2 linked regions of the Elephas maximus indicus genome follow. The protein of the gene in region 1 interacts with the protein of each later gene in a pairwise test. Links are inferred from orthologs where the notes say so. Each region holds a gene or a part of one and is shown on either strand. Other genes may lie near its edges. The genes, in order: ACOT8 and PEX5.

Region 1 (15,805 bases):
AGAACGCTCCTTAGAAACAAGGATGGCGAGACTGGATCTTTGGACATGTTGTCAGGAAGGATCAGTCCCTGAGAAGGATGTCATGCTTGGTAAAGTATAGGGTCAGCAGACAAAAGGAAGACCCTCAATGAGATGGATTGACACAGTGGCTGCAACAATGGCCTCAAGCATAATGACGATTGTAAGGATGGCGCAGGATCAGGCAGTGTTTCATTCTGTTGTGCATAGGGTCGCTATGAGTTGGAACCAACCTGAAGGCACCTAACAACAACAATTAAGAATATATAAGGGGGGAGGGAAGCTGGATTAATGGAAACAGGACAACCAGAATGGAAATAATGAGAATCTTGACACTGTGAAAAATGTAGCCAATGTGACTCAACAGTATGTATAAAATAATTTGCTAAACCTAAAACACAATAAAATATTATTAAAGAAAGAAATCGAACGATGTATAGGGCAAACCTGCTGCAAAAGATCTCTTTAAAGTTTTAAAAAGCAAAGATGTCATTTTGATGACTAAGGTGCACCTGACCGAAGCCATGGTATTTTCAATTACCTCATATGCATGTAAAAGCTGGACAATTGAAAATGGAAGATTGAAGAATTGAGGCATTTGAATTGTATCAGCGACAAATATTGAATATACTGTGAACTGACAGAAGAACAAATAAATCCATTTTGGAGGAAGTACAGCCAGAATGCTCCTTAGAGGTAAAGATGACGAGACTTCAACTTGCTTATTTTGGACAACAAGAAAGACCAATGACTAGAAAAGGAAATCGTACTCGGTAAAGTAGAGGGTCAGAGAAAATGCGGTAAACCCTCTGTGAGATGAAATGACCTAGGAGTTGCAACGGATGGGCTCAAACATTCCAACAGTTGTAAGGATGGATGGTGCAGGAGCACGCAATGTTTTGTTCTATCATACATAAGTTTGGCATGAGGGAGAGACTAACAACAACAATTAAGTACCAAATACTTCTAGTTGCTCAGAAGGCTACCGAGACAAATTAGATAGTTCCTACTCTCAAAGTCTCATGAGCAGATTATTACACAGGTGGCCAATAAAGTCAAAATCAACTGAATGTTAAATAGAGGCACAAACAATATATTTATCACTGAAAACTAGGTGAGGCACTCTGACCGTAGAAATCGGTATGATTAACTAAGGCTCCCAATTAATTTTGTGTAAGATTTGTGCCCTTTTTTGTATGTAAATTGGGCCCTGACCAATGAGTAGGATTTTTATAGATGAAGAATAGGCAAAGCCCCCAAAAAACAGAATGAGACTAAAGGGACACACCAGCTCAGGGGCAAGGACTAGAAGGCAGGAGGGGACAGGAAAGCTGGTAATAGGGAACCCAAGGTCGAGAAGCGAGAGTATTGGCATGTCGTGGGGTTGGTAACCAACGTCACAAAACAATATGTGTACTAATTGTTTATTGAGAAGCTAGTTTGTTCTGTAAACCTTCATCTAAAGTACAATAAAAAAAGAATAGGCAAAGCCATCTTTGTTGTTAGTGCCATCAAGTTGATTTTCAACTCATTTCAACCCCATGTGACAGAGAACTGCCCCATAGGGTTTTCTAGACTATAATCTTTACAGGAACAGATAGCCAGGTCTTTCTCTCGTAGAGCTGCTGGGTGCGTTTGAACTGCCAACCTTTCAGTTAGCAGCCAAGTGCTTAACCGTTGTGCTGCCAGGGCGCCTTAAAGACATCTCAGACAATATAGTTTGAGTTAGGAACAAGACTCCGGAGTCAGGAGACCTTAGTTTCAATCCCAGTTCTACCACAGATTAGCTGTACGACCTTGGACAAGGCACTTCACTTCTTCTAAACCTCCATCTGCACAGTCAGGAATGTGGAAATACCAAAGGAACAGGTCCCTCTTGTTCTACGAATGATCAGTACCACTTAAAGGGAATCCATTTAAAAGGCTTTGGTAGATTCTGCTTGTTGCCAGCCCCACAGAACTTTGTCCCCTCCCTTCCTCCTTTCTAACAGAACTTCCATTTTATTCTGGTTGCCACCCCTCCACAGAGCTCTGTGCTTCAGGGTTAGTCTAAGCCAATTAAGGTAATCCCATTAGGAAGGGGCACGTATACTGGCTCAATTCTGGCCAAGAAAGGCAGTAGGAAGTCTTCAGGACACCAAGGAAAGCTTTTTCCTCTGGATGTGCCATGTGGGGAGCCACGCTGAAGGCACAGCTGAGAACTGTGGATGGCAGGGTGGGAGGATGGAAATAGCCTGGGCCTCGGAGACAGTCACCTGCAGAGGCCTACCTTTGGGTTTCTACATGGGAACTAATAAGCCAATTTGAGTAAGGTTTTCAGTTCCTTGTAGCCAAGGACATCCCTGGAAGCAACATTTCACAGTAAATAGTGGGAGAAAAAAGATTTGAGTGGAATTTCACCTTAAAAAATAAGACAAAAATTATGGAGTTAATATTATATTTAATAAAACGTAGATTATAATGACAACTATATGCTTATTCTTAGAATAATCAAAGAACAACTTGAGGTTGTACTGGCCTAAGCATAGATGAATAGGCAAAGAAAAAAAACAAAACAAAAACAAAAAGAACAACCTTAAGTGCCAACTTTTTTTCCCTGGTGTAATTTTTGCAAACACTATGGTACTTCATTTCCTGTCTCACTTTTGCAATATGCAGAGGTCAGTTTTACCCAAATATTCCAGGGCTGTATTAGGTTTCCCAAGGATCTATCTTCATTCTTTGCTATGCAAATCCTTTCCTTTTCAGGTTCCAATCCTATTATCATCCTTGTTGATTTCCCTTCTCATCTGTTAACCATGAGGCTAAGGGAGGAGCTCTGGTGGTACAGTGGTTAAGCGCTCAGTTGCTAACCGAAAGGTTGGCAGTTTGAACCCCCCAGCCACTCCACGGGAGAAAGATGTGGCAGTCTGTGGCACTCTGCTTCCAGAAAGATTTACAGCCTTGGAAACCCTACGGGGCAGTTCTACTCTATCCTAACACCTAAGTGTTTTCTTACGGTTTCTTGAAATCTTACCCTACTCCCTACTCTGACCTGCCCCCTCCTTTCTGCCCCTTCCCATTTTTCTTGGCTGTGACTGTACCAGATTCAGACTTCCCTGGCTCACACCCATGTGCTTTTTGGGGGTGAGGGTGCTTTTTGCCACAGGTTCTCATGATTTTCCTCTTCCATGCCTCGATTGCCTGGGGGCCTGCTCCCACCTACTCCTGGCCTCTATCTATCCGCTCTTCTGCCTGTGCTCACACATTTGGAACTCCGTGCAAAGCAGCCTTCCGAGTGTTATGTAAATGAGCTCAGTGCCGTAACCTAAAGCTGCTGCTGTCGAAGGCTGTGGAGTCAATTCCAACCCCCAGCAAGCCCATGTGACAGGGTAGAACTGCCCCATAGGGCTTCCTAGGCTGTAATCTATCCAGGAGCAGACGGCCAGGTCTTTTCTCCCAAAGAGCGCTGGTGGGTTTGAACCACTGACCTTTTGGTTGACAGCCGGAGCTTAACCGTTGTGCCACCAGGGCTCCTTGGACCTAAAGCAGAGAGGTAGAAATTATTAGTCCCTTTTTAACATTTGACTTCCCCTGGCTGTGTTTCCCCACCTGCAAAATAATAACGATAATAGCAGCTTACAATTATGGACTATTTCCTATGAACCAGGCACTCCTATAAGCACTCTACATGTATTAACTCACTTAATAGGCAAACAAAATAACAAGTCAGATAATGAAGGTGCGCGTGCTTTGTAAATGATCTCTGCAAAGTATCAGGGATGACAACATCACTTTTCTAATCAAGAACCTGAACTGGTATCAAGTTTCAACCGATACCTTCTTCCTCCACCACCACCACCACCACTCTCCCCTGGCCACCCAACCAGGTTGTTTCCCTGTCATTCCATCACCCAGCACCCTAGACTTCTCCTTTGCAGCCCTTACCACAATTTTAAGTAAATAATTACTTCTGTGGTGATAAGTTAGTATCTGTTCCCTGACCAGAAGGTAAGCTCCAGGAGGGCTGGAACCCACTTTATCTTTTTCAATACTGTCTCTCCAGACTCTAGCATGGAATCAGTGTTCAGTAAATAAATGCTGAAATCAATGAATTAAACCAGGGAACTTTGAGTAAGGATGCTTTGCACATACAAGTGGAAGAAGCCATACGGAATAATCTCCAAGATACACAGATACATGAGAAGAGCAAGGTGCAGAACCGCGTGTATTGATAGTACGCTCCCACTTGTGCTAAAATACATATGCACAAAGACAATACGGTTGTTCAGGCACCAGCGTCTCAGGAAGGTTAACAGTGGTTGTCTCTAGGTAATAATGCTGAAGGGACACTGACTTTTAGATTTTTTGGTACTGTTTGATTTTTTTTTTTAATTTAGTTACTATATTAACTATAACCAAAACAAATTAATTTTTAAAATTGTTCAACCTTCAAAGACAAAAATAAATGAAACTAATGTCAACCCTCCAGCCTATTTATCTGGGCCCATCCAATTCTTCCCCACTATTCTTCAGCATAAATCTTCCTTCTAGCTAAGTAGGTTTCCCCACAAGGGTCCTTAAAGTGGGAGAGGGAGACAGAAAAGGGGAGTCAGAGAAGGGGTTGTGAGGTCAGAGTGATATGATGTGAGGAGGGCTCCACCTGCCATTGCTGGCTTTGAAGACGGAGGAAGGGGACCATAAGCCAAGGAGGGCTAGGCGTCTGTAGAAGCTGGAAAAGGCAATGGAACCAATTCTCCTTGACACCTTGATTTTAGCCTAGTGAGACTTATGTCTGACTCCCAACCTACAGAATCTAAAAATAAGTTTGTGATGTTTTAAGCCATTAGTTCATGTAATTTGTTACAGCAGCAAAAAGAAAACTAACATACCCCCCAGTGCCCCCCTCTCCATCTTTAGGGGGTGCACCTCAGGTCTCCCTTTCTCTTACTTCTCCAGCCCAGTGATTACTCTCTCTTCCCAGTTCCTGCAGCACCTATTCCCCTGAAGCACACTTTTAGCACTTGATGATTCAGTCATTCAATATACAATGACTTGCTATGGGCCCAACCCAGAGCTAGACCCTGCGGACACAATGGTGAACCAAAGTTTCTCCCTGGAAAAGCACAGCCAATGGGGAAAACTCTGTAAACTGGATTACAAAGCAATATGCAAAGAGGTGTAACACTTGCTGCTGGAGCACAGCAGGAACATCAAACCTAATCTTGGGGAAGTTAAGAAAGACTTCCTGGAGGAAGTGCTGAGACCTAAAGAAAAATGAACAACTAGCTAAGACCGAGTTTCCCATAAGGGGTCCAAAATGACCTCAGATTGCTTAAGAACAGATATTTTCAGGATTATTTATAAATACATAACATTCATTTCACATGAATGCTCTGCATTTTACCTGGAATCCGTCAGTCTGATTCCAGAATGCACTTTTTTTTGGCCCTGGTGGCACAGTGGTTAAGCACTGAGGCTAGTAACCAAAACGTCAGCAGTTCGAATCCACCAGTTGCTCCTTGGAAACCCTACGGGGCAGTTCAACCCTGTCCTATAGGGTCGCTATGAGTTGAAATTGACTCAATAGCAAACGGGTTTATGCTGTTACTTCATATATATTATTTCCTAGGTTAGGTCTAAAATAGGTTACTTTGAATATTAAACCTGAGTGAATTTAAAGAAAAAAACGTTAAGTAAATTGTAGTACAGGACATGGCAAGAGCTGAGATGATGGCACACAGAATGACTGACATATGAGTTGCGTTTAAACCACCAACCTTTAGGTTAGTAGTCCAGAGCAAACCTTTTGCACCACCCAGGGACTTTGAGGCTCCTACTCTAGCCCTCTGTGTGTATTCACTGCCCAGAGAAACCATTACTTCCAGAGTGAAGCTTTTCCATACCTCCCAGGCATGTTACTTCTTCCTCTGCACAAGTCTCTTTTAAAGCATTATCACTTACAGGTTGGCTTATCTGAGTTCGAGTCTATTCCACTTTAAGCTCCTTCAGGGTCGGCTGGATTTTTTAATCATCTCTACGTCATCTGTACCCAACACAACAGTAGACTTCTGAGTAACAGAAAGAACACACATTGCCTGGCTCCCAAGCTGGGGAGCTCTGGCCAACTTCTCAAACCAGAGGTCTTAGACTGGTGGCCCTGAGATACACTATTTTTGACTCTCAGAGATGGCCCACATAGTGTAGCCCACAATTTGAACTAATTTCCATTTTTTTTAAAAAGTGGCCAAATCCACATAAAAGTCTGTTTCTCACTCCTCTCGCCCAAAATTCTGGCAACAATGAATCTTCATTTTTCACATGGCAGTAATCAGCTGGAGTCGATTAGATGGGATTTGCTCTCTAATTTGCCCCAGTTCACAGTTTTCTCTGTTGTCCCCATGGCGTTATTTCATCATTCTTATTCTTACAGTACAATAAAAAGTTATGTTACATTTTCTTACCCTGGGCTGTTTCACCTGAGCCCAAAAGGCATTTGAGTTTTCAACTCCTGTCTTAAATTCTTTAAGCCTGTTTTCTTATCTGTTAAATGAGAAGAATAACGTCTAATCCTTGATACAGCCCTGAGGGGTAAAGCACGCCCAGAGTACAGAACGCTGCCTGGGACATGCAAAGTGTTTGAAAAATGGTTGTTAATATTAGGAGCTCAAGAACCATTTACAGAATGAATGAATGCAACAATCACCAACTGACCTGTTACTGCTTTGTAAAGAATAAAACGCTAAGGCGTTTTTATCCATCTTTGAAGGCAGTATTTTGTGTCTGGAATACTGTAGGTGCTTCAAAAATAGGACAAACTGCAGTTATGAATTCCAGAAAAGCTTGTTCAAGAAAGGAATGAGTGAGTGACGGTGAAGTGGGTGGTCAAAAAGCAACGCCTAAAGAGGGTTTGCTCTATATCCACAAGGCACGCAGCAGGTGCTCAGCAGGTGCCTGCTGAATGAATGGCTGCGGAAGTCTGAGACAAGGGCCCAAGAGCATTCCCGCCTCCTCCTCCTCCTCCAGGCCGCCCTCCGGTGGGCCGGCCACCCTCCTCCCCATCCTCCTGCCCCGCCCCCGCCCCGCCCTTACAGGATGTCTTCGCGGATAGAGGTGCCATGGTGGAGGTTGTGGAAGCGGACGGAGACGCAGTCTCTGAGAATGAAGGAGCACCTGTTCTCCTTTTTGTAGGCGCTGAAGCATTCCTTGAAGTCCTCGTAGGTCTTGAAGCAGCTGCCCAGCTCCATGGCTGTCCCCTCAGCCCACAGCAGGGGCTGGTCCTAGCGTGGGCCCAGTATCACACCGGGGGTCAGAGGTCACTGTGAGGGTCTACAGGCTGGTCTAGGTCCAGGGCCCTTAGAGGTCGGTTCCACTTGAGTGCCTGTTATGGAGCTCAGGAGGATCCCAAGTCTGAGGGGTTTCTGGGGCGAGGGGCGTCTTTACTGCCTGACAGAGGGAAATTGACACTCAGTCCTTATTATTCAGCCCCGAGGCTCCGCCCCCTCAGTATCACACCCAATCACACACGGGACCCCAGAGTGGCACTTATTTTCTCCAATCATTAGAGAAATCCCGCCTCATCCACCAGAAGACGGATAGGAACATCAACAATCATAGTCGGATCCCGCCTTCTCACTGTCCCGCAGGGCACTTCCGGTTACGAGGGCAATTTGCCGGGGGCTTCCGGCTCTGGGTATGTCTCCAGTTCCCTCGCCCAGGGCAGTGACCGAGGCCAGCCGCCAGCTAGTAAGATGTCGTCCCCGCAGGCTCCGGAGGACGGGCAGGAAGGCCACGATCCCCCCAGGGACCTCCGCAGCGTCCTGGTCACCAGCGTGCTCAACCTTGAGCCGTTGGACGAAGATCTCTTCAGGTAGCCTGCAGCATCCGGCTCGCGCCCCCACTGGGACGGAGGCCCCTGGTCTCGGCAGCCGCCACCCATTGTCCCTCAGCTCCTGAACGAGGATGGGCTGTGCGGAGGCTGCAGGCTCTGCCGCGATCGAGAGAGGGCTTGGCCCTCACTGCGCTGTCCAGACTGCACTGGCTTCCTCCCTCCCATTCCATGCCCGGACTGCGCAGCGCTCTTGCGAACTGGGCAAATAAAGTGGTAACCTGTGATACGGCAGTCGGCCCTTGGGGTCCCTGGGGGAGTCAGCCCAGAGAGGGCAGTGATTTACCTAAGGGCACACAGCAAATCTAGTTTAAAACTTAAGTCCCCTGATTCGCAGCTTCTTGCATCTTTACTATCCTTTTAATTTTACATACTCCTTCCCCACTACTTGGTGGGATTTGGTAGCTCATTGCTGCTCATGCTGAGGTCTGAGCCTCTTTCCTTCCCAGTTCACTTAAGCTCTTGACCGCTTTGGCCTCCAGAGCTCCTACTGGCTTTATTGGAATCCATCTTTGGCTTTAACTTCCCTTCCGTCCACTTAACGACTTGTAAATCACTTCCTGGAGGGTTATTTGCAATACAGTGCTATGGAGAATACTAAATTGGGGCTGGGGCTCACATGCCAACTGGTCTTTTTTCACTTCGGGGGACCCAATTTCCTCATCTTTACACTTCCAGCTCTGAATCGGGTTCTAGAAAGAACTGGGCTGTTGTGGTTGAGGAATATAGGGGATAGACTCAGCCCTGGAGGTTCATCTTGGTCCACCCAAGATGCTTGTGTCTTACTCTGATATGGGGAGTAGAAGAAACACTGGACTTGGGGTCAAAAGACTCCAGAACTGTCCAGGATGTGCAATGTTTAAGCTTTGTGACCCTGCTCAAGTCATTTGAACTCTCTGATCGCCATTCTCTGAGTGTGAAATAAGTGAGTTAGATTGTTATCCTTAACTGAATCCACAGAAGGGCTCTGGGTGGTCATGAAGGCCATGAAGTTGTATGCAGAGTAATGTGTGAGGATATTTGCCTGGGAGAGGGCCCATGGCTTTCACCAGTTTTTCAAAGGGATCCCAAACCCCAATAAATTTAAGAGATCCTGCAGTAAAGGCTCTTTGAGAGCTGTAGGATTCAGCCCCTACCCAAGTCTCTCCCAATTTCCTCTTCCCACAGAGGAAGGCATTACTGGGTACCCACCACCCAGCGGCTGTTTGGGGGTCAGATCGTGGGTCAGGCCCTGGTAGCTGCAGCCAAGTCTGTGACTGAAGACGTCCACGTACACTCCCTGCACTGCTACTTTGTTCGGGCAGGTAAACCACCCCCTCCTTGCCCCCACCCAGTCCTGGGGACCCGGCAGCCACTTCTCCCTGGTCTTGGAGGGCTGACTGAGGAGAGAGGGAGAGAAGGGGGGCTTAGGAGCCATTTCCTCCTGGCTTTGGGGGGCTGACTGAGGGGAAAGGGGAAGCGAAGAACGGAGACAGAGAGTTCCAGTCGCAGGGGAGCCAAGAGAGAAACAAGGCCTGGGGCCGACAAAGAGCTTTGGACTTTACACTTACTGAGACCGTTAACTTGTTCTCTGGCTCTTGATGATGCAAGACTTGGTTCTTAGTTGTTTCCTGTTGGTGTGAGTATGGCGCTAGATCCTCACATCTGCTGTAACCTCTGTTAGGGGTTTGGGGGGCACAGCTGCCTGGCTTGGAGAAAAGAGCACCAGGCTGGGAATCAAAAGATCTTGGTTCTAGTTTCAGCCTTGCCAATAACTTGCCTTGTGACACTGAGTAGATGACCTCCCTCCCTGAGGCTTGGTTTGTGCCCTCTTTAGAGTGAAGTTAGTGGGGAGGAGAGGAAGGGTTGGTCCAGGGGCTTTTAGTTGGATGATCTCTATAGTTGCTTATAGCTCGGGGATCCGGTCAAGGAGCAAGGGGCAGTCTTTTAAAACCCACTCTCTGTTGAGAAACAAAAATCTCACTTGGTTTGCCTCCATACCCCTGACTTCTAAGGCAGGTGCCCACAATTTTAGACTTGTTGTCTTCTTCAGAGTCAAACCAGCTGGGAAGATTTTGTTTAACTTTATATTCTGTGATTTGTACTCAGAAAACAATAGGGGGGGGTTTTCTTTCATTTTAAAAATAAAAAATAGTTATAATAATAAATCTATTTTTTCACACCATATTACCATGCCCTTCACTCCCCCTTCCTTTATTGCCTGAGCCCCTTGACTGTGATTGTCATCGCTACTTACCAGCCCAGTTCTTACCTTTGTGCTAGTTGGGAGCACCTCTGGACTTTATTTCTTCAGTTTGGCTGTAAGCTTCCAAGATGCTGGCCTTTTGGTAGTGTAATCCTCCTAGCTCAGTGAGAGACCTGGCGGTTTTGTCTTGCCTTGTGGAAGTAGGGGCATTACTTGATCCCTCAGAATCTGATTCTTTATCCTGTGATGAAAGAATTATAACTCTTTGTAGTGAAAGCCTCTAGTGCAGTGCCTGGCACATTGCAGGTTTCCCATAAGTGATAATAATCATTTTTTATGATGAGTTTATGAGAATAATTAATATTTGCATGGCACAGAGGATGGCCAGGTACATTATCTTACTTAGTCCTCATAACATGAGGGTGGGCATTCCTGCCACCATTCAGTGTATAAGGAAATGGCAACCTAAAGAGATTTGTAACCAGCTCCTACAGCTGCTCAGGGAGGCAGAGCCACGATCTGAACCCAGGTTTGTGTGCCTCCAGCTCCACAGTCTTCTGCTACTTTCTCTTTTCACTTGTGAAGATCATTACAAATCCGTGTAGGGCTACCAGGGTACCTGTCTTAGGCTGGCTTCTCTAGAGAAGCAAAACCAGTGAAGTGTATATATCTATATATGTATATAGATAGAGATTTATCTCAAGAAAATGGCTCACACAGTTGTGGAGGCCGGCAGTTCTCAAATCCATGGGTCGGGCGTTGGGCTGGAAGGCTTCTTCTGACTCACATGGTTGCAGGGGCTGCGGAACCCAAGATCGTCAGGTCACATGGTAGGCTGCTGGCTCAAGTACCAAGAAGCAGAGGTCAGATGATGACGAGCTCGATGTAGGACCCAGAGCAAGGGAGACCTTTGCCAGTCATCCATGTATATTGAATGAAGGCTGTGCCCTCCAAGGAAACTCCCATCACGTCAGATAGTTGAGCAAGGGTGTGACTTGGGTCATACCTGCTTATAAGGATGTGACTCGTGATACACCCTACACTAATCCTGCCCTATTAGCACGTAGAGGTTAGGACTTTCAACACATAAAATGGAGGATAATTACATCAGGCCACAAAAAGGGAAGATAATTACAATCATGGCCTAGCCAAGTTGACATATAACATTAACCATCACAGTGCTCGTTCCAGGTTCTGGGGGAAGGATCTTCTTCCTTGCTACCATTTCAAAATAAATCACCAATTATTTGTTCCTTATCTCTTCCTGGAAAGGCTGCAAGACAGCTGAAGATAATTGATAGCTATCAAAGGACTATCAAAATAAAGGTCAAAGGACAACAGAGTAGTCCTAATAGGGAGCCTGGGGAAAATGACTTTACCAAAAAACTGGGCTAAGGCATATTGCTGTAGTTTCTCACAAAATTTAGTTCTCAGCTCCCTGGCAGCAAGGCAAAAAGGGAAGCTCTCAGTAGTTTGTGATGTGACCCTTTACCACATACCTCAAATATAACCAATGAAGATGTTTTAAATGATATATATATTTATAAAAGATGCTGAGGGTGGGTAATCTTTGTCATTTATATTATCAACTCTAAAAGCCCAAGGCAGAATGTCTTTTTTTTTTTTTTTAGGGAGGTAAAAGAATGTAGTACAGGAATGTAGCATGCTACAGGTTTAAACCCACTGCCGTTGAGTCAACAGGTTTAGAGCTGGGAAAATCTGGAGCAGGAGTCGGCAAGCTTTTTTCCTGTAATGGACCAGATAGTAAATATTTTAGGCTTTGCGGGTCTCTTTGTGACAACTCAACTCTGCTGTGTAGCTCGCGAAAACAGCCATAGACAATATGCAAACAAATGATTGTAACTGTGCTCCAAAGAAACTTTATTTACCAGAAAAGGTAGCAGACTGGATTTGGCCCACGGGCTATAGTTTGCTGACCCCTGATTTTAAAGAAATGATTCTGTAGTCATGACATGATCCCAGTCACAGACAGAACAAGATAAGAACTGAGAGAATTTATTTTATTTAACCAACACTTAGAGAGTACTAACTATGAAAAACTATGAGCCAGATATTATTCTAAACACTGTACAACTATGAGTTCATTTAATTCTCATAAAAATCCTGTGAGGTCTGAGCACTATGAGGGTCCTCATTTTACTGGAGTGAACTGCTCAGAGAGGTTAAGCGACTTTTCCAAGGTCACACATCTGGTGAGTGGCAGAGCCAGGGTTTGAATGCAGGAAATCTGGCCGAGTCCAAGTATTCTGTGCTGTTGACAGGAGGCACTCCACCTAGTGCTCTCTTTGTATCCCCAGTACCTGGTCTCAGTCCCTAGCTACTGAACAGAGAAAGGAATAGAGGACCAGTGGCAGAGGTGCCCACCTGGCCTTTGTGCTGTCTACAAAGCCTGTAGGGCTCACTGTGCCCCTTGTGCCCACTGCAGGAGACCCAAAGTTGCCAGTGCTATACCAGGTGGAACGGACGCGAACAGGGGCGAGCTTCTCGGTGCGCTCCGTGAGGGCCGTGCAACACGGCAAGCCCATCTTCATCTGCCAGGCCTCCTTCCAACAGATCCAGCCCAGTCCCCTGCAGCACCAGTTCTCCATGCCAGCTGTGCCCCCGCCAGAGGAGCTGCTCGACTATGAGACCCTCATTGACCAGTACTTAAGGTGAGAAGCCTGGAGGCTCCTGGGCAGTGCTTTCAAACAGCGGTTCTCAGTCATTAGTGGGTCATGAGATCCTTTCATGGGTCTTGACCAGCATTTTAGAAATATAGAATAGAAAAGAAGATATTGGAGTATATCGTACGTAGGAAGGGTAAGAATTCTTTGGTGACACTTGAGTTTCAGTTGTGTGTGTATTGGGTCATGATGTAAAATGCAGGGTTTATATTCAGCCAGTGCAGGCACTGTTACAGCTTTACTGGCTGTTAAAATATTGAAATACTTCTGTAACCACTTGGTAAATAGTCACCTCCTCAGGCCACTGCATGATCTCCTCTCCTTTCTCCTGGTCACCCATGATTCAGCAGCTTAGGAGTTAATGCCTGGCAGGGGTGGGTGTCCTCTAGAACCCTGCTGCGAAGCTATGGCCCAAATTTGCTCTGACTGGTCGCTGCCTTTGCCTTCCAAACCAAAACTCATTGCCTCGATTCTGAATCATAGTGACCCGATAGGACAGAGTAGAACTGCTCCATAGGGCTTCTAAGGCTGTAATCTTTATGCAAGCAGATTGCCACATCTTTCTCCCACTGAGCTGCTGGTGGGTTTGAATTGCCAGGCTTTTGGTTCTCAGCCAAGTGCTTAATTGTTGTGCCACCGGGGCTCCTTGCTTTAGATAATATCAACCAAAAACTCAACCCATTGGCCCTCTTGTCGATTCCGACTGATAGCGACCCTCTCGGACAGGGTAGGACTGCTCCATAGGGTTTCCAAGGCTGTGATCTTTATGGAAGCAGAATGCCACATCTTTCTCCCACAGAGTGGGTGGTAGGTTCAAACCACCAACCTTTTGGTTACCAGCCAAGCACTTTAATGGCTTTGCCACCAGCTCTTTGCCTTTGCCTTACTGGGTGTATCACCTGGTAGAATGTATTTCTCACTTGGATCACAGCCTATAAAGTTTGAAAAATGCTGGTGCAAGAGAAAGAGCACCAGGTCCAGACTCAGGACAGATGGTGTTTTCTGGCCGGCTGAGTTAGGGCATACCTGCTGTGGACTTGCCCAGTTCCCCAGCCTCTCTGATCCTAGTTTCTGCATCTAAGACATGGGAGTAGTCACTTCTGCCCTGCCTGCTTCACAGCTGAATCACAAGGACAGCTCCTCTGCCTTGTGCTGGATGCTGGGGAGGCAGCAGGGTAGATGGATGTGGGTTTAGGAGCCCAAAAGGCCTGTGTTCAAATTTAGACTGGTCCTTACTGGCTTTGTGAGCTTGGGCAAGTTGCTTTCCCTCTCTTAGCCTGTGCCCTCAGTTGTAAAATGGTGCTGATAATAATTACTACCTCCCAAGGCCGCTGTGAGGATTAAATGAGGTAAGGGAAATAAGGCACTTAGAGGGTACTCAGTAAATGGTAGTTATACCACTCTTGACAGGAATAAGTAGGGGGCCTTGTATGTAGTCAGTGCCCAACAAATGTTTGCTGAAATGAAATGAGGACTTTTGTTCTTTAGGGGCTCCGCTTATGGAGCTGTGCTGTCCAGTAAGGTAGCCACTAGCCACATGTGGCTGTATTAAATTAATTAAAAGAAGTAAAAATTCAGTTTGTTGGTTATACTAGCCACATTTCGAGAGCTTAAAAGCCACATGTGCTTGTGGCTACCATAGTGGACAGTGCAGGTATAGAGCATTCCATCACAGAAAGTTCTGTGGGACAGCACTCGTGAGGATAGGGATGAAAATGGCGGCACCCCGAGAAGCACTATGGGTGGTTGTTACTGTGGTGAAAGGGCTTCCTTGGAAACGGGCCCCTCCCTCTGGGGGAGAAGATTGTTCCCAGCTGCTTTAATGTTAGGTAACTCAGGCCAAGTTGCTGTTTCCTGACTGTGTAGAATGCTGACATGGTTAAGAGCATGAACTATGGAGCCAGATTGCCTGGGTCCAAATGCCCTCTCCACTTTCTGAGCAAGCTACGTGGCCTCTCTGTACTTATTTCATTTATCAAAAGGGGGTGATGACAGTGCCAGTTTCACAGGGTTGTTGGGAGGCGTGAGTTAATGTGAGACGTTTAGAACAGAATAGTGCCTCTCAAGTGTGCGTCTTACTGCTATAATGTGTTGTCTTCACCACGTTGTTATCAGCCAGGTTACTATGATTATCCACATTTTGCAGATGAGAAAATAGGCTCAGAGAGATCACTAACTGAGACAAAGCCATATGGCTCATATGTAGCAAAGAAGGAATTAAAAAACTACTATTGTGCCTGCCACAAGCAGAGGGGAGCTTTGGGGACAAGTCAGGAGTCCTGTGGAGGAAGGAGGGGGTCAGAAGAGGCAGCTCAGATGAGAAGTTCCGCTCTTCTTGCATCTCCCCACTCTCCCTTTTACTTTCAGGGACCCTAACCTCCACAAGAGGTACCGAGTGGGGCTGAACCGGATTGCTGCCCAGGAGGTGCCCATTGAGATCAGGGTCATAAACCCACCCACCCTGAGCCAGCTGCAGCGCCTGGAGCCCAAACAGATGTTCTGGGTGCGAGCCCGGGGCTATATTGGTAAGAGGACCCCATGGACTGGAGGAAAACTCTCTCCAGGGGTCTAGACCTGCAACTCATCACCCTGTGACCTTGGGCCTGGTACTTGCCCTCTCGGGTACTGTTTCCTTATTTGTGTGATGGGGAAGTTGGCCCAGTTTCTCACCAGGGCTGTCTTAGCCCTTTGCATGGGGAGAATGGGGAGGTGACTACAATCCCAATGTAGGCCCTTTCTGAAGAAGGCAGGGCACCTGAGGTTTTTCTCCTGGTCTGCTGCTAACTCTAAGGGTGCCTTTGTGCCAACTAGAAAAAGGCACCCCTTCCGGGGCCCGGGTGGGAGACTGGTGAGTGAAGACTGCATCTCCATCCTCACTCATCTCCCCCCTTATCTCCTGCCACACACACACCTTGGGCCAGGTACCCTTGTCAGTAAAGTCTGCATATCTGTGCATGGAGCCCCTTCCATCCCACCCCACTGCAGGTGCTGAGCCATAAAGCCCAGGAGCCCAGGGCTGATGGGGCTGGCACCTGTTGCAGGGGAGGGTGA
Region 2 (16,541 bases), on another chromosome or scaffold:
ACACATATATATCATAGTGTATATATACTATAGACACGAGCCCTGGTGGTGAAGTGGTTAAGAGCTCAACTGCTAACCAAAAGATCAGAAGTTCAGACACCAGCCACTCCTTGGAAGCTCTTTGGGACAGTTATACTCTGTTTTACAGGGTTTGAATTGGATTGAGTTCTGTCCCCCCAAAATATATGTATCCATTGGCTAGGCCATGATTCCCAGTATTGTGTGATTGTCCACAGTTTTGTCATCCAACGTGATTTTCCTATGTGTTGTAAATCCTACCTCTATGATGCTAATGAGGTAGGATAGGTGGCAGTTATGTTAATGAGGCAGGACTCAATCTACAAGATTGGATTATGTCTTGAGCCAATGTCTTTCAAGATATAAAAGAGAGAAGCGAGCAGAGAGACAGGAAGACCTCATACCACTAAGAAAGCAGCACTGGAAGCAGAGTGCACCCTTTGGACTCGGGGTTCCTGTGAGGAGAAGCTCCTAGTCCAGGGGAAGATTGATGACAAGGACCTTCCACCAGAGCTGACAGAGAAAGCCTTCCCCTGGAGCTGATGCCCTGAGTTTGGACTTCTAGCCTACTAGGCTGTGAGAGAACATACTTCTGTTTGTTAAAACCTTCCACTCGTGATATTTCTCTTACAGCAGCACTAGATGACTAAAACAGTCGGTATGAGTTGGAATGACTCGATGGCAATGGTTTTTTTTGTTTTTGTTATAATTTTTTTTTATTCATATGTATAGTCTTTCACTTTGTGGTCTGAATTCTTTACTTTTTTTTTAAATTATAGTTCTTCCAACATTTAGGAAGGTTTTTGTTCGAGTGGTTACATTTAATATCCTTAATCCCCCTTTTTTTTTAGACAATATGTATTGATTCTCTTCCATGAACGACAACAAAATACTAGTTTGTAACTTCTCTCCCTTCATCCCCTCCTCCTCCACTTCTAAGTTTCAGTCAATATTATCTTTCTTAATGTTTACTCTTTCTGCCCTTAAATATCCTTAACTGTCTACTACTTGATTTGTTAGCTTTAAATGACATCCTTTAATTTCTAGCTATTACATAAGAATCAATCAGTGAGAGTGAGATTATTCTACTTTTCTCCTTTTTTCTCCCATTTTATTAGTCGTATTATTTTACATTGTTCTAACATCACCCCATTCCCACTTTTGTTTTACTTTTAGTTTTGGAGTTAACTAGGAGTCCTTGGGTGGTGCAAACAAGTGCTCGATTACTAGCCAAAAGGTTGGTGGTCTGAACCCACCCAGAGGTGCCTCAGGAAACGGGCTTGGCGATCTGCTTCCCAAAGGTCACAGCCTTGAAAACTCTGTGTAGCAGTTCTGCTCTATACACATAGAGTCACCGTGAGTCTGAATTGACTAGACGACTAACAACAACATATTCAATGCTCACCACTAGTCCTTTTGCTGGTTATAGGAATTTGAAGCACTTCTTTTTTTTTAATGGCTGTCATTCTACTTTTGGAGTATTGTTATCCTTTCATTTGATCTTACTGCATAACTTCTCTTGAGAGATAACCAGTAATGAGGCTAGGTGTATGTTGGGTGAGGAATAAACTATGAAATAGAATGTCAGTCTTGGGCAGAGTGGCTTTGGAATTAATTTGACTGAGCTAAAGTCTTTACCTATTTTTGAGACTCCTGGGAGAAAAAATCTATGAAAAAACCCATGTTCCAATCTGATTCACAAAGGAGCAATGGATATTATTGGGGAACAGTCTCATGATAGGGAGCAGGTCTGTCTTTACAGGAATAGTCACATCCTTGGCTGATTACAAGTTTAATGGTTACCTAAGGCCAGTGGGGAAACCCTGGTGGCTAGTGGTTAAGAGCTATGGCTGCTAACGAAAAGGTTGGCGGTTCGAATCCACCAGGTGGTCCCTGGAAACCATATAGGGCAGTTATACTCTGTCCTATAGGGTAGCTGTGAGTTGGAGTCGACTTGATGGCAACAAGTTTTAAGGTCAATGGATTAAGAAAATAATCTGGAAATGCTTGTCCTCATTTTATCATGAGGGGACTTGACACTCCTGACTCTCTTCATGGCATGGAAGAGTTATTTGGTATGTGGTGAGGGTCTAACATCCATTGATCCATGTTTTTAGATAGGGTCAAACTAATCTATAATAAGTGCAAGAACCTCTTCCCGTCTCAGCTTCAGGGTGTGATTGCAATAATTATGGATGAATGTTTGCTCTACAGCCCCCAACAATCCCTTAGGTAAGCTGATCCAAGGTCTATACTTGGAAGTGGGATTGTATTAATAAGCCCGTTACTCAACAAATCTAAAATGATATTCTCCAATCAGCTTTAACAATAATACATCTGAAATTTGATCTTGTATTCTGTTGTCACAGAGCCCTGTTGGCGCAGTGGTTAAGTGCTTGGCTGTTAAGCGAAAGGTTGGTAGTTCAAACCTACCAGATGCTCCTTGGGATAAAGATGTGGCAGTGTGCTTCTGCAAGGATTACAGCCTTGGAAGCCTTATGCGGCAGTTCTACTCTATCTTGTAGGGTCCCTATGAGTTGGATTCAACGGGATACAGTTCTTCATTCAGGGCAACTTTTAACCAAAACAGCTCTCAGCTTCTCGGCTGTGACCACAGGCAGGCAGCCCTTCTCTCGGCCATACCACTGCTAGGCCTTCTTTTGGCCACACCTGCCACCAGGTCTTCTCTTGGCCTCCGTCCTGCTTGGGCAAGTGTTACAGCTCTTTAGCTCTGCCAACAAGTGCCTGGAGGCACTTCACTCCACCTTCCTGCCTGAAGGTGCTTACCTCTCTCTTGCTCTGTGGGTCAGCAAGCCCACTGCAGCTGCCTTGCCCTGATGGCCGGGTTCCTGCCACTTATACTGCTGCAGCCATTTCTCTGCTGCTGGGCTCTGCTGTAGTTGCCACTATTTCTTGCTGTCTTCAGTGTTACAGCTCTCTTTCTCTTCTGCGTCTAGGAGGTTCTCAGCACAGGGACCCTGTGTCCAAAGGATGTGTTCCACTCCAATCTCTTCTTGGTGGTAGTGAGGTTCCGCTTAACCTCTGCAGGATTTGTCCTTATGTAAGCCTACTCCTTGTCAATTTCAGGGCATGGTCCTCCCACCATGTCGATGAACTGCTCAATCCCCTTGGTAGGCCACAGTCACTTAATTTGCATATTAATAGACCAATTCCCTGCAAGGTCACTTAATCCTATTGGGTAGTTTTACCTACCCTATTTGCATAGTAGACTGACCAGTCTCTGCAAGGTGCACCAAATAGACCAATCACAAGGCAGGCTGTGGCCCAACCAACTATTTTTGGTAGAATTATCAACCCAAGGCCAGATACAAGAGAAACTCATTATACCGTAGACCTTTAATTCTGTCTTCTGTGCTTTATTTCTCTGAGCTCAGAGTATGATTATCGCCACTCAAAATCTAATAGTAACAATAATTTCTTCCACAGATATTTTTTGACTATCTGCTATGTGTGGCACAGTGATTGAGAGCTACAGCTGCTATCCAAAAGGTCAGCAGTTTGAATCTACCAGCCACCACTTGGAAACCCTACGGGGCAGTTCTACTCTGTCCTATTGGGCCACTGGGAGTCGGAATCGACTTGATGTCAATAGGGTAACTATATGTCAGGCACAATTCTAGGGCCTGGAGATCTAGCACTGAGAAAGCTGAAGTCCCTGCCCTTATGGAGCTTACATTCTGTCTTGCAAAGTCCTCAGAGCAAACGCTAGCAGGATCACTTGATGTGGGATAAAACCCATGAGCAGAAGAGTCATCAGGTGAATGGTTCCCCTGAGGCCATGTTCATTTTTTGGTTTATTTTCTCTCTGTCGTTCAGATATTGAGTAATTTCTATTGTTCTGTCTTCCAGTTCATTGATTCTTTTCTCTGTCCCCTCCATTCTACTGTTGAGCCTACCTACTGAGACTTTTATTTTAATTATTGTATTTTTCAGTTCTAAAATTTCTATTTGGAATTTCTTTATATCATCTATTTCTTTTCTAAGGCTTTCTATTTTTTTCATTTGTCTCGAGTGTGTTCATAGTTGCTCACTGAAGCATTTTTTAAATCATGGCTGCCTTACAATCTTTTCCGATAATTCTAACATTTCTGCCATCTTGGTGTGGCATCTATTGTCTTTTATTATTCAGTTTGTAATCTTCCTGGTTCTTGGCAGGATGAGTGATTTTGGATTAAAACCTGGACGTTTTTATGTTTTGTTGTGAGACTTTGGATTTTATTTAAACCTTCTGTTTTAATTGGCTTTCTTTGACACCACTCCAAGAAGGGAAGAAGGAAATCACTCTTCTGGTACCACCATCTGGTTACTGCCAGATGGAAGTAGAAATCGAGGTTCCTCATTTGGCCACCATTAATACATGAGTAGGAAGGGGACTCCTCATTACTGCTATGTGGGCTGGGAGTGTCCTGGCTCCCCACGTGGTCTCCACTTACATCTCAGGGGAGAGACGGAGCTGTGGCCTGTGGAGATAAAAGTTCTGGCTCCCTATTTGGGCTTCTTTGGTACCACCCTAGTGGGGGAATTGGGGTGCTTCCTTATAGCCTCATAAGGAGAGAAGTCTCTGTTTCCTACTCAGCCTTCACTGGTGTTGGTGGGGCCATAGTTTTTTCTTTCATGTTTAGTTGGAGCAGAGTAGTTACTGTCTAAAAGTTTCTGTCTTGGTAGGCTGCCCCTTCCCCCGTCCTAGAGAGAGCAGGTCTTTGTTAGAGCTCTTTTTGTCTGCACCCATTGGTGTTGCTGTGTTGCCGGCTTCTCTAGCACCCAGTCTGGGATATATGAGGCAAAAAGAAAACCTAGATTACTCACTGCTGTGTTGTTCCTTGGGTCCTGAGGTCCTTAGCTGGTCTGCCTTCTTTTCTCCATCTTTCAGAGTCTTCTTATGTTTGTTTTATATATCGCGTCTACGGTTTTTAGTTGTACTCAGTGGGAGAAAAAGAGAAAAGCATGTCTACTTCATCTTCCTGGAAGTGAATTTCCCCTGTCAAACTAACAAAACAAGCAAAAACTGAAACACATTATTTATCTGTGTATGCTGTAGATATTTGGTTGAAAAATACTGAAAAGAGAGTAAAACCACTCATTTGAAGAAATTCTCCAAATAAAAAACCTTATTTTGTTTTTCTTTTTTTCCTTCTTCCCTTCCATTCTTTGGGGGTGGTGGGAGTAAGGGATCAATGGGTTCCCAACTGGATTTTGGCAAGGGTGACATATTGTGAAAATTCCCTGGATTTCTAGAGGTGGTAAGATTCTGCTACAAGCATGGGTAAGGGGTGTCTGTAACACAGTCCTGCTTTTGGTTAGGCAAATCCCCTGCTGTGTAGCTATAGAATGGTTAGGTATTTTGTACTCAAATGTAGATGGGTTATGCCGGACATAGCTGATTATATCTAGATATCACTACTCTGAACACTTTTAAAGCCAATTGGGATTTGCCCAGGTATACACAGATGGGTCCAGTTTTGGGATTTGCTGCATTTCACCATACATGCAGCTTTCTTCCTTTGTCAAAGTGTCTCTGCCAACGGTAACTACTGAGGCTGACAGGACAGATGAATAATCATAACCAACAAACCCTTTCAAATGTACATGTGTGAAGACTGTAGCTTGACGTGCAATATCCAGAGGAAGGAAACTTCCCTTACTCTGTGCGTTGTGTCATTAAAAAACTAAAGAATCAAACCAGACGGTCGTCCCCATTTCCCAACCCCCACCTCCAACAACATGGAATGTGAAATTCAACACCTAGGGAGCAGAGATTTGTTGCTCAGCTGAAGTTGTGAAAGAAGTTGGTTGCACCTGATGTGGGGATACAGCTTTTCAACTACCTTAATCTGATGATAAAAACTAGGTAAAGTTGTAACTGAAGAGTTGGACACCATTATCAGTTGAGGGGAACGGCTTTAGGGATTCATGACACAGCAGACAGAACTCTTCTCTGAGACACAACTGAGGGTGTTCACTTGTGGTTCAGATAGCATCATTTTGGGACCATACAGTTCCTATGTCTAGTGTCCTGGCCTTAACTCTCTGACCTCTAAGTGCCTGTACTGTGGTTCCAAATTTAACCCAGTAGCCTTGAACTACCTGAGCCAGTAAATTTGCTCAGGTGTATAATGACTTTGAGTTAAAATGTCTGATGTTTAAGAGAATCTGATGATAGGCCTTCAATCTGAGAGGTAAAATTGATTTTAGACTTGTGATTTTAAGTTAAAAGGACTAAGAGGATTTTATAAATGTACAAGGGTTGAATAAGAGGTTAGAAAGAAAAAGAGGTTAGAAAGAAGGTTGTTAGCTCTGTCAGGCATATATAATGCTTTAACATATATATATATACATACATATATATATATGTGTATATACATATATATATATATATATATATATATATATATATATATATATATATATATATATATATATATATATATAGAAAGTACCCAAGGAGTTCAAAATATTTAAGGGACTTTGATTTTTTAAAAACAAAGTATAGCAAAGTAGTTAGAAGTACGGACTCTGGAACTAGACCGTCTGTGTTAGGGGTTGGCAAACTATAGCCTGCCATCTGTTTTCTGTATGGTCTGCAATCTAAGAATAGTTTTGACATTTTTAACTGGTTGGAAAAAAAAAATCAAAAGAAAAATATTTTGTGACGTTATATGAAATTCAAATTTCAGTGCCTATAAATAAAGTTTTATTGGAACACAGCCACACTCATTCATTTACGTATTGTCTATGGCTGCTTTCATGCTACAATGGCAGAGTTGAGTAGCTGTGACAGAGACCATATGGCCTGCAAATCGTACAATATTAACTATTTGACCTTTTACAAACAAAGTTTATTGACCTTGGTCTAGGTTCAAGTCCCAACTTTGCTATTTATAAGTGGTATAACTTTGGGCAAGTCACTTCTCTGCGCCTCAGTTTCCTGTCTGTAAAATGGGAATAGTAGTTGCTATATAGTTCATATGAGGATTAAATGAATTAATACTTGAAAAGTACTTAGAATAGTGCCTGGCACATTGTAAACACAATGTAAGTGTTTAAAAATTGTTTGAAGGAATTTAATCTGTTAAAATTGAATTAACTGAATATTAATTAAAGAGAAAGTAAAAGTGATTATTTTATTTTATATGTTACTACTCTTATAAATAGAATAAGAATGTATAGCTGAATCTGGATTAACAAAATTTAGGATTTTAAATCCAGAACTTCAATAAACTAAATATTAATTAAATACCCACGTAACTCTATTAGTTCTCTGCCAACCCTAGACACCCTCTTGGACTTGTGGACCAGGTTCTGTGAAGGATTCTACGGCTTACAAACCAGGCTTCTTTAAGACTAGGAGGCCTTGCTGTGTAATGGATAGATAGATACCTGGAGTTATGCCTGGATTGAATTCTGACATCTTAGTTGTGTGATTTGGGGACAAGTCTTATCTGTAAAATGGGGTTAGTAACACCTATTTCATAAACATGTTATGAAAATCAAAAGTGCTAATGCTCATAAAACATTTAGTGCAGTACCTGGATTTGAGTAAGCACTCAATAAGCACCAGTTGTCATTATTACCATTCTCCCAAGAGTGGGCACATAGTGAGTTATTGCTTCTAGCAGAGCAGAAAGTAATGTGTGTGGTATGGTTGGAGTGTTACTGGGAAACCCTTAATGCCTTAATGTCCTGAAAGTCTACCATATCATATGCTTCCAGTTGAACGTTGCCTTCTCCAAAAACCTAAAACTAAATCCATTGCTGTGGAGTGAATTCTGACTCATGGTGACCCCATGTGTTACAGAGTAGAAATGCTCCACAGGGTTTTCTCGGCTGTAATCCTTACGGAAGCAGATAGCGAGGCCTTTCTTCTGTGGTTCCTCAGGGCAGGTTCAAACCAGCAATACGTAGGTCTGTAGCTGAGTGCAAACCATTTATACCACCCAGGGCAAAAGTGCCCTGTCCAGGGATTCTCTCTTTTGGAAGTATGCACTTTCTAGAGGGCACCTGTTCCTCCTTGGTATGGTTTAATTCATTAGTACTAGATATTTACCTGGTGGCGCGCTGGTTAAGAGCTCAGCTGCTAACCGAAAGGTCGGCAGTTGTAATCTACCAGCTGCTCCTTGAAAACCCCATGGGGCAATTGTACTGTCCTATAGGGTTGCTACGAGTCAAAATCTACTCAACGGCATGTTTTAAGGTATATTCTTTACAACGGCAGCCTGAGAACAGTGGACACTCAAGGGTCAGGATTTGTGTATTCCAGGGGAAAAGAGGTAGTGGATTAGGGCCTCTGAAAGTGGGTGAAAATGCAAAGAAAAGGAGAAATTTTCGACAGTCTTCAGGTTTGTCCTGTCATTCTGTTTCCCTGAGGTGTCTAAGAACAGCTTCTCTGCCTTCCCAGGGTTGAGTTTACAGAGCCAAGTCTCTTTGGTTCCCTGGGGCCTCCACCATCGAAATCTTTACCAACAGCCAGGTAACAGGACTCACCTAGGGCTTCACCTGCTGTCTGTCTGCCTCTTCGAGTGCACCCTGGGCTGGGATGATACTTCTGTTTGGCTGAGTCTACCATACCCTTTCTCATCTACCAGCAGCCCTGAGCCCCTCCTGCCCTTCTACATGACACCAGGACTCCCTTGGTCTTGGAGCCAGGTCAGAGACCAGGGTTTGTTTCCCAGTGACCTTGAGGTTTGAAAGCTGAGCCAATTCCCTGGCAGATGGTGGGGCCTGAGGCTTAAAGTCATGTTCTGCATTTTTTGCATCAGCCGGAAGGAGTGGGAATAAGGCCACCACAGTGACCTTAACCACAGGTGAGGGAGGGGAGTGGGGGAGAAGTGACTCACTGTACACCTACCTTGTATGTTATCAGCTTTAAGTCTCAGGATGTGTTGGACCCTATTTTAGTCTCTGGACTTTGTCATCATTCAGTGCTATTTTCCCCAATACGCAGAGGTGGAAAAGGGATTGGCTGCAGGCCTCTGTCTCCATGGAGACTGTGACGCTATCCCTTTATGGGGACTTTGGAAGAGAGGCAGACCTGGGAGGCTGGAAAAGGTCCCCGACTTGACTAACTTCCTCCTGTCCCCGAGTCTCAGCATTAGGGTTTTTCTTCTACCCGCTTTGGGGCTTGGGAAGACTGGCCGTTTTAGAGGGGTAAACTGAGGCCTAGGAAGGGCAGGGGATGACATTGGGTCACAATGAGTCCCAGGAAGAGCAAGGATGAGCTGAGCCCAGCAACCTGGGCCCTCGGCTTTTTCCCCAAAGTCCGGGAAGCCCCTCAGCTCCATTCTTCCTTGACCCTTCCATCAAATAAATCTGAGCGTCAGCGACCCTTTCAAGCGCTTCCAAGAGCACACGCTCCAAGATTTTTCTTTTAAGGAGCCCTTCCCCTTTAAGATTCACCGCTCTTCCCATTACGCGGCGTCGCATCCTTAAGGCCCCGCCCCTTCAAACAGCTTCCGCCGAGCCGCGACCGCAGCGCGGCGGTCACGGCCCCTTTAAGCCTGAGCCCCGCCCCCTGGCTCCCCCTTCTCTACCTTCCCCTCCCCCGCCAGTCCGGGTGCCCCGGCAGCTCTTGCGGCGCGGTGCGCGGCGGTAAGCAAAGGGTCCCGAGGGGGCGCGGGGACGAGTTCCCCGTCTTCCCCGCCCTTGCTGTGTCCTCGTGGGGCAGGGCCAGAGCAGATGGAGTGGTGGGGAGCGCGGGAGGGGTGGGCCGGGAGCGGGTCGAGCAGAGGGAGGGGCCCAGGTGACCTGGGGGAGGGGGTGGCCCCCCGTGGTGTTCAGCAGACTACCGGGGGGTGTCGGGGACAGGGCTTACGGTCAGGCGTTGTTACTCCCTTCTCGTGTCCGCCCAGTGTCCCAGTCCAGCGCGGTTGGAGAAGCGGCCCCTGTGGCCCTCTGGTGTCCAGGCCACTCCGTAGGGGGCGGGTGCTGGCCGGGTTCAGCCGGTCGAGACCACAGACGTGGAGGCTGCCGAAGAGGCCCAGGCTGAAGGCTGTGGCCTTTGAGGGGGCGGCGGGAGGGTCCCGGCACCCCTTGGAGGTCAGGCAGAGGTGTGGGCCACAGTAAAAGGCACAGGGGTGAAGAGTAGCCAGTGACCAGGGGCCTGACCCGTGAGGGGCCGATGTTTGCTAGCCTCCCCAATATGCGAGCTGAGTTGGGGGTTGGAGAAGGGTCTGTCTTCAGAACCTCAGTTCCAAACCTCTGCCCATCAGAGAGCTGGCGGTCACCATGGCAATGCGGGAGCTGGTGGAGGCAGAATGCGGGGGTGCCAACCCACTCATGAAACTGGCTGGGCACTTCACCCAGGACAAGGCCCTGCGACAGGAGGGCTTGAAGCCTGGCCCCTGGCCTCCAGGAGCCCCACCTCCAGAGGCGGTGAGTGGAAAGCCCAAGTGGTGGCTGGGATGGAACGTCCAGGTGTACACCTTGGATAACTAATTGCTTTCTTTATTGTGCTGCAAATAATAGTTACCATCTTTTTAATGAGTGTTTACTCAACATTATACTAAGCACTGTGCATTATTATATAGACGAAGTAAACAATTTTATACATAAAGAAACTGAGGCCCAGAGAAGTTATGTGACTTGTTCAAGTCATGTAACTAGTCAGTAGTAGAGCTGGAATTTTAACTCATGTTCAACTGATTTCGCCACTGTACCGTATTGCCTTCCTTTGTGTTCTGTCTTAGGTCTCTAAGCCTTTGGGAGTATCCTCTGAAGATGAGGTAAATATATCAGTGTCATTTCCACTGTAAACTGTTAAGCACTCGACTGCTAGCCAGTGGGTTGATAGTTTGAACTCACCCAGAGGTGCCTTGGAAGACTGTCCTGTTGATCTGCTTCCAAAGGTCACAGCCTTGAAAACTTTCTGCAGCAGTTCTACTCTGCACACATGGGGCCGCCGTTAATGGGCATTGACTTAACAGCAACTAACAACAACATTGTGCTTTTATTTTTAAACTTGCCTCACCCATATTTCAATCTTTGGTCTTCCCTGAACAAATGAGATTTGCTTTAGCTCTCCTGCTTGTTTTTTTTTTTTTTTTTATGTATTATTTGTTTCCAAATCTATGGAGAGTTAAGTTTCTCTCTCTAATTGTCTCCAGTTTCTATATTATCCTTTCATTGTATCTGACATCAGTATCTCTCATCCAGTGGACCCTGTCTCTTGCTGGGACTTCCCTGACCCCGTGGGTTCATTTCACTATCTTTTCTGACAGCTGGTGGCTGAATTCCTGCATGACCAGAATGCATCACTTGTATCCCGTGCCCCTCAGACCTTCAAGATGGATGACCTCCTGGCGGAGATGCAGGAGATTGAACAGTCCAGCTTCCGCCAGGCTCCCCAGAGAGGTGGGTTCAGAGTCTGGTGGGAGGGGAGGTCACCATTTTCTGTGTAGGCGGGGCCAAGGGGGTTCCAAATTTGAATGCTGATGACATTGTGGAACTGGATATAGAAGGAAACAAAAGGAGCATAGTGTTTTCATGTGCATTCAGGGTTACTTACTAGGCATAAAAGAAATAATAAGTATTTCTTTTTTCTGTTTTTAGCCCCTGGTGTGGCAGACTTGGCCTTGTCTGAGAACTGGGCCCAGGAGTTTCTTGCAGCTGGAGATGCTGTGGATGTAACTCAGGATTATAATGAGACTGACTGGTCCCAAGAATTTATCTCTGAAGTTACAGGTGAGACTCCTTATTGGAAAATCTGTAATGGTTTCAGTGGAGGCAATGAAAGTTCTATACTGCTCCCCTAATTCATTTAAGGGTACAGGGTGATTTCAGCTGTTTATTATTTTTCTGGCCTCTTGACATATTTTTATGTAGGGCATTTAGCATGATTTCCCTTAGGTGATAGTAGGGAGTCGAAATTTATATTAAGCAGAGGACTGAGTTTGAACTGGGTAAGAGATTTTTCCAAATCCGTATAGTTCAAACCCCAATGTGTGTGTGTGTGTGTGTGTGTGTGTGTGTGTGTACGTACATATATATGTACCACGAAGAATTAGGTCTACCTCTTTGTTATCTGGAACTTTATTACTACAGTTTGGTAGAAAGGATCCAGAGAGATTGGGTGGATGGCTGTGTTGCCCAGGAAGAGAAAAATATCTGCCAATAGCTTCTGTGATTCTGGCAATAAGTCATCTTGAATATAGTTGGGGCCTTGGAGAGTGGGGCTGTGGAGTTTAAAGCCAAGACCATACCTTGATGATAATAATAAAACTTAATAGCTAATATTTTGTTCAGGGCTTTGTGTCAAGTTGTTTAAATGCATTATGTATTTAATCCCTATGAGAATTCTTGAGGTCCTTACTGGTTTTATTTCCAGTTTATAGATAAGGAAACTGAACCATAGAGGTGAAGGAAATTGCCCAGCTTTGTAAGCGGTAGAGTTGGGATTTGACTCTGGGATGAATGATTCTCTTCTTTTTTGATTGGCCACAGACTTCAGGGTCTCAGCCAGGGCTTTGAACTGGTTTGAACCGGTTCAGTCACGACTGACAAAGTGAAACCAGAATAGACTTGAATTTTTAAAATTTGGATGATCCAGAACCATAACTGGAATGGGAAAAATTATGGGTTGAAGCTGGAATGGGAGACTTCGAAGAGGTGTGGTGAGCCCTTTCGGGAGGCTGATAGTTGAGGTTGGATTATTACCAGCACTGAGGAGAGTGACACACAAAGTGGTGCAGTTGACCACCATCTTTGAGCTGGGCACAGCTCTTTCCGACTCTGCACAGAATCCTATGGGCAAGACATTTGGTTGCTATGCAACATGTACACTGCCCTTGTTTTCTAAGAGGGAGATTAAGTTTCACGTAAGGTTTTGACCCATAATTTTTCCTGTTCTAGTTGTGGTTCTGGGTTACCCAAATTTTAAAAATTCAGATCTGTTCTGGTGTCACCTCCTTGGCCATGACTGAACTTGGAAGAACCAGTTTGAAGCCCTTGTCTCATGCTAACTTTTTCCTCTTTGAGATTGTCCATTGCGCACTTCATGCCTTGGGATTGATCCTTCTGTCTGTAAACCTACCTAATTTTTTCTTCCTGATTGGTTTCAAAGAGAAGCACCATTAGCCTTTTCCAATTTAAGAAATAAAAGAGAATGAGAGGCACAAGTGGAGAAAGTTACAACGATTCTAGACTCTAAGGGAGCTTATACCATCATAGTTCCTGAATTTTTCTGAGATGATAAATAGGACCTAATTAGTTTGTCTTCTATATCATTTAGAAAAAAAAAAAATATTGTGTTTAAGGTGAAAGTTTACACAGCAAATAAGGTTCCATTTAAGAATTTCTACACAGACTATTCAGTGGTGTTGATCACATTTTTCACAATGTGTCATCATTCTCATCCATTCCATCTGTACCATTTCTAATACTCTAGTTTCCCTGCCCCCTTACCTTCTCATTATTTTTGCTTTCCTTGCCCCCTTACCTTCTCATTTATTTTTGCTTTGGAGTAATTTTTTTAAAAAAAAATTTTAAATTTAATTTTATTGTGTTTTAGATGAAGGTTTACAGAGCAAATTAGTTTCTAATTAAACAATTTATGCACATTATTTTGTGACATTGGTTGCCAGCCCCATGACGTGTCAACACTTCCTGTCACCACCTTGGATTCCCCATTACCAGCTTACCTGTGTCCATCTGCCTTCTTGTCCTTGCCCCTGGCCTGGTATGCCCATTTAGTCTTGTTTTGTCTTACGAGCCTGTCTAATCTTTGAAGGGTGAACCTCAGGAGTGACTTCAGTATTGAGTTAAAAGGGTATTGGGGGCCATACTTTTGCGGTTTCCTCAGTCTCTGTCAGATTAGTAAGTCTGTTTTTTTTGTGTGAGTTAGAATTTTGTTCTACATTTTTCTCCAGCTCTGTCTAGGTCCCTCTATTGTGATCCCTGTCATAGCGGTCAGTGCCATCTAGTTGTGCTGGATTAAATCTGGTGGAGGCTGTGGTAGCTGTGGTCCATTAGTCGTTTGGACTAATCTTTCCGTTGTATCTTTGGTTTTCTTCCTTCTCTTTTGCTCCAGACAGAGTGGGACCAGTAAGACGTATCTTAGATTGTTGCTCAGAAGCTTTTAAGACCCGAGACACTACTCACCAAAGTAGGATGTAGAACATTTTCTTTATAAACTGTGTTATGCCAGTTGAGCTAGATGTCCTCTGAAACCATGGTCCCCAAGTCCTCAGCCCAAGTAATTCAGTCCCTCAGGGAGTTTGGATGTGTCTCTGAAGCTTCCATGAGCTGTGCTGACTTCCCTGATATTGTGTATCATCTTACCTTTCGCCAAAGTTACCACTTATCTATTGTGTAGTTAGTGTTATTCCCTCCCTGCCTCTCCCTTCCCTCAAAACCATCAAAGATTGTTTTTGTGTGTAAACCTTTACATGAGTTTTTATAATAGTGGTCTCATACAGTATTTTTGTCTTTTCGTAATTGACTTATTTCACTCAGCATAATGCCTTACAGATTCATTCATGTTGTGAGGCATTTCACAGATTCATCGTTGTTCTTTATCGTTTCTTAGTATTTCATTGTGTGTAGGTACCATAGTTTGTTTATCCATTCATCTGTTGATAGGCACTTAGGTTGTTTCCATTTTTTTGCTATTGTGAATAATGCAGCAATGAGTATGGGTGTGCATATGTCTATTCATATGATGGCTCTTATTTCTCTAGAATATATTCCTAGGAGTGGGATTGATGAATTGAATGGTATTTCTATTTCCAGCTTTTTAAGGAAGTGCCATATCGTTTTTCAAAATGGTTGTACCATTTTACACTCCCATCAGCAGTGCGTAAGAGTTCCAATCTCCCCGGTCCCTCTCCAACATTCGTTATTTTTTGATTTGTGCCAGTAATGTTGGGGTGAAACGGTATCTCATTGTAGTTTTGATTTGCATTTCTCTAATGGCTAGTGATCGCGAGCATTTCCTCTTGTGTCTGTTAGCTGCCTGGATGTGTTCATTGGTGAAGTGTCTGTTCATATCCTTTGTCCATTTTTTAATTGGATTGTCTTTTTGTTGTAGAGGTATTGGATTTTCCTATGGATTTTAAAGATTAGACCTTTGTTGGATTTGTCATAGCCATTTTTTTTCCCCAGTCTGTAGGTTCTCTTTTTACTCTTTTGTTGAGCATAAGTGTTTAATTTTTAGAAGATCCCAGTTATCTAGTTTATCTTCTGGTGTTTGTGTATTGTTAGTTATGGTTCATATCTTATTTATGCCATGTATTAGGGCCTCTAGCATTGACCCTATTTTTTCTTCTATGGTCCTTGTAGTTTTTGGTTTTATATTTAGGTCTTTGATCCATTTTGATACAGTTTTTGTGTATGGTGTGATGTTTGTGGCCTGTTTCATTTTTTTACAGATGAACATCCAGTTTTGCCAGTACCATTTGTTAAAAAGACTGTCTTTTCCCCATTTAATGGACTTTGGGCCTTTGTTGAAGATCAGGTCCCTGCAGGTGGATGGATTTACATATGCGTTCTCAGTTTCTGTTCCATTGGTCAATCTATCTGTCATACCAATACCAGGCTGTTTTGACTATCGTAGCTATATAATAGCTTTAGTAATTTTTAACCATTTGGTCTTATATAGGTGATTTTTTTTAAAGAAGCTCATTATTCATGGTAATAATCTTTATTTATGAGCCAATCTGTTATTTAGTTAAAAGGTGACCTCAACGGATATTTTCGGTTTAAGGTTTAAAGCTAATCTCAGGGCAGTAGTCTTGGGGAATCTCTAGTCTCAAACAGTCCAGTAAGTCTGGAATTTTTTAAGAATTTGAGTTCTGTTCTACATTATTCTCCCACTCTGCCAGGATCCATCTACTGTGGCTGTGATCAGAATGGTTGGTAGTGGTAGCTGGGCACCAACTAGTTCTTCTGGTCTCAGGGTAGATGAGGCTGTAGTTTGCATAGACTATTAGTCCTGTACACTACTTTTTTCTCTGAGCCTTTGTTTCCTTTCTCTTTTGTCTGGACAAGTAGAGACCAATAGTTGTATCATCACTTTGGGATATAGTACACATACTTTACTATTGCTGTCAAGTCAATTCTGACTCATAGTGACCATGTAGGAAGAATAGAATTGCCCCATAGGATTTCCAAGGCTGTAATCTTTAGAGGAGCAGATTGCCACATCTTTCTCCGGTGGAGCAGCTGGTGGGTTTGAACTGCCAACCTTTGGGTTAGTGGCCGAGTGCTTAACTACTGCACCATCAGGGCTCATTAGAACATACACTTTATGAGGTATATTATGCCAGTTAACTGAGTTGTCACACGAGACTATGGTCCTAAGCCTTCAAACCCAGAAAACCAGGTGTTTGGTTATGTCTAAGAAGTATCTGGAAACCCTGGTTGCTTAGTGGTTAAGAGCTATGGCTGCAAACCAAAAAGTCGGCAGTTCAAATCCACCAGGTGCTCCTTGGAAACCCTATGGGGCAGTTTTGCTCTATATCTTGGGTTGCTGTGAGTCAGAATCAACTCGACGGCAGTGGGTTTGGTTTTTC

Evidence for each region.
Region 2: the proteins of ACOT8 (region 1) and PEX5 interact in binary tests that used the Homo sapiens proteins (3 or more experiments, as listed by UniProt). The link is inferred for Elephas maximus indicus from reciprocal best matches to the Homo sapiens genes ACOT8 and PEX5.

What each region holds. Positions count from the first base shown.
Region 1 is NC_064843.1:23,392,141-23,407,945, forward strand, and holds the start of ACOT8 (acyl-coenzyme A thioesterase 8), read left to right. Parts: upstream 1-7,644; 5' UTR 7,645-7,692; coding exon of another isoform or gene 7,693-7,748; coding exon 7,749-7,867; intron 7,868-9,052; coding exon 9,053-9,189; intron 9,190-12,516; coding exon 12,517-12,742; intron 12,743-15,121; coding exon 15,122-15,279; intron 15,280-15,795; coding exon 15,796-15,805. Other genes in the region: ZSWIM3 (zinc finger SWIM domain-containing protein 3), read right to left, coding at 7,090-7,244. UniProt on the Homo sapiens protein: Catalyzes the hydrolysis of acyl-CoAs into free fatty acids and coenzyme A (CoASH), regulating their respective intracellular levels. Displays no strong substrate specificity with respect to the carboxylic acid moiety of Acyl-CoAs.
Region 2 is NC_064822.1:64,038,140-64,054,680, forward strand, and holds the start of PEX5 (peroxisomal biogenesis factor 5), read left to right. Parts: upstream 1-9,518; 5' UTR 9,519-9,624; intron 9,625-9,646; exon of another isoform or gene 9,647-9,719; intron 9,720-10,244; 5' UTR 10,245-10,260; coding exon 10,261-10,407; intron 10,408-10,721; coding exon 10,722-10,757; intron 10,758-11,252; coding exon 11,253-11,385; intron 11,386-11,583; coding exon 11,584-11,715; intron 11,716-16,541.